Ovis aries: one gene and its partner. The protein of the gene in region 1 binds, or shares a complex with, the protein of each later gene. Links are inferred from orthologs where the notes say so. Each region holds a gene or a part of one and is shown on either strand. Other genes may lie near its edges.

Region 1 (2,721 bases):
CAGGCGGTGGGCGTGGCCAGCCTGGACCTGCTGCAGGACCGCGAGGGCTTCACATGGAAAGGCCATGAGCGGCTGAGCCCGCGCCTGGGACCGCTGCCCTGGCCAGCCGGCTTCCAGCCCCGCGCTCTCATCCAGTGCCTGCCACCAGCCGCCGTCACAGCCGTCACACTCCACGCTGAGTGGGGCCTCGTGGCCTTCGGGACCAGTCACGGCTTTGGCCTCTTTGACTACCTGCGCAGGAGCCCCGTGCTGGCCAGGTGGGTGTGAGCAAGCCCCTCCTGAGGTTCACGGGGGCACTGCCAGCCTCGCAGGGCCCCGCTGGGGGAGTTCTGCCCCTCGGCTGCTGGACTTGTGCTTCCCTGATGGCTGGCCTGCACCCCCAGGTGCACCCTGCACCCCAGCGACTCCCTGGCCATGGAGGGGCCGCTGTCCCGTGTGAAGTCGCTCAAGAAGTCGCTGCGCCAGTCCTTCCGGCGCATCCGCAAGAGCCGTGCATCGGGCAAGAAGCGGATGGTCGCCGGCAGCAAGGTGGGGCGGCAGGCAAGGCGGTCAGGGTGATGGGGGCGGGGGCAGGATGGTGGCCCGACCTTGCGCCCCTCCAGTTGCAGGAGGCCAACGCACAGCTGGCGGAGCAGGCCGGTCCCCAGGATGTGGAGGTTACGCCCGTGCAGCGCCGCATTGAGCCCCGCTCAGCCGACGACTCCCTCTCGGGTGTTGTGCGCTGTCTCTACTTTGCAGACACCTTCCTTCGAGATGGTGAGACTGGGCGGGGTGGGCAACCAAGGGTGGTGTGTCCTTGGTCCTCTGGGAAATGGGTGATGGGGTGGACCTGTGCCTTCTGGAAGGCTGAAAAACAGTGTGCCTCCTGAGTACCAGGCTGTGCTGGCGACAGGGTGCCCTGACCCCCAGCAGCCCCTGGAACAACCAGGGTGAGGCTCGGTGAGTGGGTGGGGCGGGCCTTAGACCTGGGCAGAGAAGGGAGCCCAGGATCTGGGGAAAGTACGGGCTGTAGCCCCAAGGCCTAGGCGGATGTGACTTGCCTGGGCAGTATGACTGGAGCAGAGGGCAGGCCTGGGAGGAGCTGGTTTTGACCCCAAGTGGCCAGAGCTCCGGCAGGTCCTACCTAGGGCAGTGGTGCATTGGGGTTTATGGACAGAGCTGCAAATCAATTTAACTTGGTAATGGGGCATTTCAGCCCCGCACCGACTGCCCACCTGTTCTACATACATCGTGTATCTTGTAAACACGATTTAAACGTAACGAAGGTCACTGGGCAGCTCAGGATGTGTCTGGTGGACGTCACTTCTGGCACAGGGCCTGTGTCAAAGCCCGGAGTGTGGCTACTGATGACTGGCTACTGTTGCCTGTCACCCTCGGCCCACAGGGGACCCCATTCATCTCGGAAATGCCTTCTCAGAGTTGGGATGGGGTCAGCGTCCAGCTCGCGTGTGCGTGGTATCTCTGCTTCTTTCCTCCTCCATCTGGGAGGGGAGCCCCCCACTTCTAATGTCATTTGTTGAGGGCCCCTTTGTCTGGGGGATCTTACTACTGTCTACATGTGGCAGCCCGGGTGACCTGGTTCCACTGTCTCCCTGAGAAGCATGGCTTCCTGTTGCTCACCTGTTTGTTGCTCGGGTATCCCCTCCATCCCAAGATTGTTGCTGAGGCCACCAGGCCATTGAGGGTGCACATTGTGACTGCCCGGTCCACCCGCACCCCAGTGTTTTTAGCTCACTGTCTACTCAAGAGCCTTCCCTTTCCTAAGGGAGTTGAACTGTGTGGTGTGCATCCTGGATGGGCCCGGGACTTGGTGCCTGGGTGCTCTGAGGGTGGGGCCCAAGTCCAAGTCTTTGGGGGACTGGTGATGAGCTGCGTCACTGGGATGCTAGGAGAGGTCTGAAAAGGTCAGGGTCCAGTTTGATGTGCCTGTGGAGAGACCCTAGAGGTCACTCCTGTGCCTGCAGGGGCCGGCCGGAGTCACCAGGGATGTAGGAGAGACAGTCCAGGATCCCAGGGCACCAGAGGGGAGGGGTGGCACACACCCACCTCACCAGCCTGTCTCCCCACAGCGGCCCACCATGGCCCCACCATGTGGGCGGGCACCAACTCGGGCTCCGTGTTTGCCTATGCACTGGAGGTCCCAGCGGCAGTGGCGGGTGGTGAGAAGCGGCCAGAGCGGGCGGTGGAGGCTGTGCTGGGCAAGGAGGTGCAGCTGATGCACCGTGCCCCGGTGGTAGCCATCGCGGTGCTGGATGGGCGCGGCCGTCCACTGCCGGAGCCCTACGAGGCCTCACGGGACCTTGCACAGGCGCCTGACATGCAGGGTGGCCACGCCGTGCTCATCGCGTCTGAGGAGCAGTTCAAGGTGATTAGTCTCCAAGACCCCTTGGGGTTCTCGTCTCCTGGACACCCTGGACCCTTGGCCTGCATACATCCCTGCTCACTGGGACCTCCTGAGAGCCTCCAGCCGTGGCAGAGGCACCTTGGGGAACCCTGGTGCCCCTCAGGACCCTTGAGCACTCCCTTGGGTGGTCTGGAAGGAGCTTGTGGTGTGGGGTACTGGCTTCCAACTTGACCACCCAGCGTGACTGGCTTTGCCACAGGTGGAGGGGCCTGGGAGGTTTCTGGGCTGTGGAGCTGTGGTCAGGGTGGCAGCTCCGGGTGGGTGGTGCCGGGTGGAGGAGGTGGTGGGGGCCAGGCTAGACTGGGGATACTGGGGTG
Region 2 (4,017 bases), on another chromosome or scaffold:
CATTAATAGGGTTATAAGTGACTTGCTTAGCTGCTGCTAAGTCACCCCAGTCGTGCCCGACTCTATGCGACCCCATAGACGGCAGCCCACCAGGCTCCCCTGTCCCTGGGATTCTCCAGGCAAGAACACTGGAGTGGGTTGCCATTTTATCCTCCTTTAAAAAAAAAATTATAATTAGAGCAGTACCTACATTCTAAAGTATACCAGACTTAGATTTCTTTGCAAAGGAGAAGCTTACAATGATTTTTAATTTGTATACTTGTGAGGCCTATTTGGGCCTGTATGGTATCAGCGGTAAAACATCAGCCTGTCAAGGCAGGAGTCACTGGTTCGATCCCTGGGCAGGAAAGATCCCCTGGGGAGGGAAATGGCAAACAGTATTCTTGCCTGGAAAATTCCATGGACAGAGGAGTCTGGTGGGCTACTATCCACAGGGTCACAAAGAGTCCAACACAACTGAGCAATTAAGCACAAGGCCTATTTGCAATTGTCAAACTAATAAAAACAGGAGAAAAAAGGAAGAAGCACTATTTTCATGTTTCATAGTTGGAATCATTGAAAACTACCTAAATTTAATGTCAAGAATCAGAAAAGTAAACCGATGAACTAAAATTAATAGCTTAACAATAAAAATTGAGAGGCATAAGGGAGCAAGGAAGCAGAGTGTAGGGTGCACCCAGTTTCTCATCCTTCAGAGGAAGGGATCACTAGATACCATCTAAAGTTGATAAGTCACAAAACGGAAGTATAAAACTTTAAAGTAAGAAATAAAGGCAATCTCCAGAAGAACAAGAAATGAACTATCAATCATAGTTAACTCTTGAGGTTGGGAGGACTGGATGGGGAACACTTTTCATTTTATCAATTATAGTTAACTCAAGGTAGGAAGGACTGGATGGGGAACACTTTTCATTTCATATTTTTGAACAATTTGCCTGTTCCTACTGTGTGTGTGTGTGTGTGTGTGTGTGTGTGTGTGTGTGTAAATCTAGCTTTTTAAAACTGTCAATAATCAGACACTATAAAAAAACAAAACGTACTATATTTCGTTCTCTGTACCTAACAACTCACAGGCCGTCAACTTTATAAAAGAGCAGATTCTAAAGTGAAATATCTCATCTGTCAAATTAAAGATAAGGTAAAGGAAACAAAGCATTTTTTTTCCAGTGCAAAGTACAGAGCTATTGTTTTCAAATCAAGACTTCCTTGATCAATTTAAGCAAAACCACTGCTACTGTCCAAAATAACTCCTTTAACTACTTCTGAATACAGTCAAGCTAATAAACAGAGCCCGAGGCTTCACTGCAGCAAACAAAATAATAAATCCTTTTATCAAATCAATAAGACACATAGAAGCTTATATTTTCTTGAAATCAAAACAAGGGAGGCATTTTGAAAGTTCGCTATCTTCACTGATCCTCTCAGGAATGTAAAAGTATGCACTGCAGTTTCAAACCTCCTAGTGCTTGAGTTTTTGGTTTTGTTTTTTTTTAAAGCAATTTACTTCTGCTTGGACAAGCAGTTAAGACAGGCCACAGAAGCTGGGTTTTCTGTTAGCCCTCAGTTTCAAACTTTTTTGCTCACACTAACAGTTGTTCCTAAGTGTAATTATCTCAAAAAAATTTCACACAGCAACTGAATTCAAAGGAAGGGGGACACTTCAGATTACTGATTACAGAATATGATTTAATACTGTGATTTTAGGACTGGGTTATTTTTGGTAACCACAGTAGTTGTAACTTAGATGATAATATGAGTAAAGATCACAGATTTTAAAACTGCTTACTCTCACCCTCTTCTCTTCTTGCAGTTATCTCACCCTATCGGACAAGACTTAGAGCAATGACAAAGAAGAGTTCACGGATTTTAATTTACACATACACAACCTAACCTAGGCAAGACCTAGTACCTAATGCATATCCCTGAAAACACATCAACTTTACTCAAATATAACCCCTACGTCTAATATATTGGCAGCCTGATCATATTCCTGATACATGTCGGGAACTCTTCTATACCAAGACAAATCTGACTTAGAAAACCAAAGGCTATAGGCCTGCTGGTAATCACAAGGATCAGCAAGTGGAAGCAATCCCGTCTTTAAAACCTAATAGTAAACTTAGTTAACTAAGGCATCACTCAGAATCAACTTTCAACCCCCAATACATCCAGACTTAAAACACGTAAAGCTCTTTGTAAATCTTAGTAGGCGAGTCTCTCAAACCCACCAAGGGGACCTACTTACTCCAAGGCTCCTCCCCAGGACCCTACTCAGGATTCTCAGCCGTGCGGTTCCAGGGCGTCCTGCACCACCACTGGTCGTCCTCCCCCGACCACTCGGCCATCCATCCCAAGTACCCCCGACTAGCCCGCCCAAACCATTCCTCCCACATCTCCAGCCCCACATTCGCCCCTCCTCCAGGCCAAGCCGAGCTGGTCTTTCCCCACCCCTGCCACCCCCGCCGCAGAACACTCACCCGCGGTAGTAGGCTTTCACCCGGACCTGGTGAGAGTGGTCCCCAATGCCGCCGCCTGCGATCGGGTGAGACATGGTACTGCTGTCTCTCTGGGTCGGCATCTCCTTATTCCCCCGCCTCGCCGGAGGCCGAGGGTGCGGGGGGCGCGCCGGGCGCCGCAGGGGACTCCGCAGCTCGAGCCTCTCGCGGAGCCGCGGCTGCCCTTTCGCCTACCTGTCGTCCCCGCCCGCGGCGCGGACCCAAGTGTCGCCTCGCCTGGGCAGCCGGAACCGCACGGCTCCTCCCACCGCCGGCGGCCGACTCTGCCTCTACAGCAGCCCGGGCCCTGCACGCCTCCCGCCTCCGTCCCTCCCACCTCGCTCGCTCCAAAGGCCCACATTCCGGGGGAGGGCGGGTGCAACCATTGATCCAAATCAAGGAGCCTCAATGTCCGGCTGAACCATTCTTAGGGGAGCAAGGCAAAGGGGAGGGAGGATGGGGACTGCTGAACATCATATCAGATTCCCCGGCAGGGGGCCTTGTGTGGGAGCTGTAACTGAGAGAATGTGAAGATTCAAATAACTATACTTTTGTAAAAAGCCCTCCCTACGAATATGGTTGGAGACAAGTGCTGTGGCATCTCACCCCAGTTTCCTAACTTGGTCGCGTCCGCGGTCAGCCGACTGGGGACTCGGAGAAGATTTGGAGTGCGGGTTTCTGGGATTTGGAGTCCCCGTGGAATTCTGGGACTTGAGGTTCCTTACAAGTAGAGAGCCCCGCCTTCTGTCTGTCTCCGGCTCCTGCCCCAGGAGACTTTGGCGTGCAAATCCTGAATCCACCTTGGGCATCCGAGGACATTGGAAATGATTGGGATTCGTCACACTCTAGACTTTCTTCTCTGCTAAATTCTCCTTCCAATTGCATAAATCATCTCAATTATACAGTACCTTTTTGGGAAAGAATTTGATTAAGGGCTCAGGATAGCGTCTTTTCGGAGAAGGCAATGGCAACCCACTCCAGTGTTCTTGCCTGGAGAATCCCAGGGACGGCGGAGCCTGGTGGGCTGCCGTCTATGGGATCGCACAGAGTCGGACACGACTGAAGCGACTTAGCAGCAGCAGCAGCAGCAGCATAGCGTCTTTTATGGAAGGAATGTAGTATAATATATGTAACAAATGTAATGATAAATGTAATGAAACTCAGAAGGTATGATGGAAGACTTGACTTTTCTTCCTTCTGCTGCCCCCCATATCTTGGCCCTTGTATATTGCCCTTGCATGGAACAGGTGCACAATGAATATTTAGCCAATCAGTCAAGCCATCCAACTAGCCATGCATCATCATTTATTTATTTATGGCTGCACTGGGTCTTTGTTGCTGCATGGGGGCTTTCTGTAGTTGCAGCAAGCAGGGGCTACTCCTCGTTGAGGTGTGGTGGCTTTTCACTGCTGTGGCTTCTCTTGCTGCAGAGCCGTGGCTCTGGGTGCAGAGCGGTGGCTCTGGCTCTTGGTTGCTCCCTCTGTCTGTGGGATCTTCCTGGACCAGGGATTGAACCGTGTGC

The links.
Region 2: the proteins of LLGL1 (region 1) and PRKCI are in contact, whole or in part, in a cryo-EM structure (PDB 8R3Y), measured with the Homo sapiens proteins. The link is inferred for Ovis aries from reciprocal best matches to the Homo sapiens genes LLGL1 and PRKCI. Residues at the interface, in NP_004131.4 of Homo sapiens: Ala315, Asp319, Glu367, His391, Ser392, Ala394, Thr396, Glu453, Cys483, Glu484, His485, Phe506, Asp507, Pro508, Tyr509, Ser510, Asp511, Pro513, Gln518, Lys519, Lys569, Ala600, Val601, Thr602, Leu644, Gly648, Pro649, Leu650, Ser651, Arg652; in NP_002731.4 of Homo sapiens: Asp339, Met341, Gln345, Arg348, Leu381, Asp382, Met399, Thr412, Phe413, Cys414, Pro417, Leu425, Glu445, Gly449, Arg450, Ser451, Gly457, Ser458, Ser459, Asp460, Asn461, Pro462, Asp463, Asn465, Thr466, Glu467, Asp468, Tyr469, Leu470, Phe471.

The regions. Positions count from the first base shown.
Region 1 is NC_056064.1:34,149,331-34,152,051, reverse strand, and holds part of LLGL1 (lethal(2) giant larvae protein homolog 1), read left to right. Parts: coding exon 1-257; intron 258-383; coding exon 384-528; intron 529-602; coding exon 603-756; intron 757-2,069; coding exon 2,070-2,365; intron 2,366-2,721. UniProt on the Homo sapiens protein: Cortical cytoskeleton protein found in a complex involved in maintaining cell polarity and epithelial integrity. Involved in the regulation of mitotic spindle orientation, proliferation, differentiation and tissue organization of neuroepithelial cells.
Region 2 is NC_056054.1:217,842,746-217,846,762, forward strand, and holds the start of PRKCI (protein kinase C iota type), read right to left. Parts: upstream 2,822-4,017; 5' UTR 2,579-2,821; coding exon 2,478-2,578; intron 1-2,477.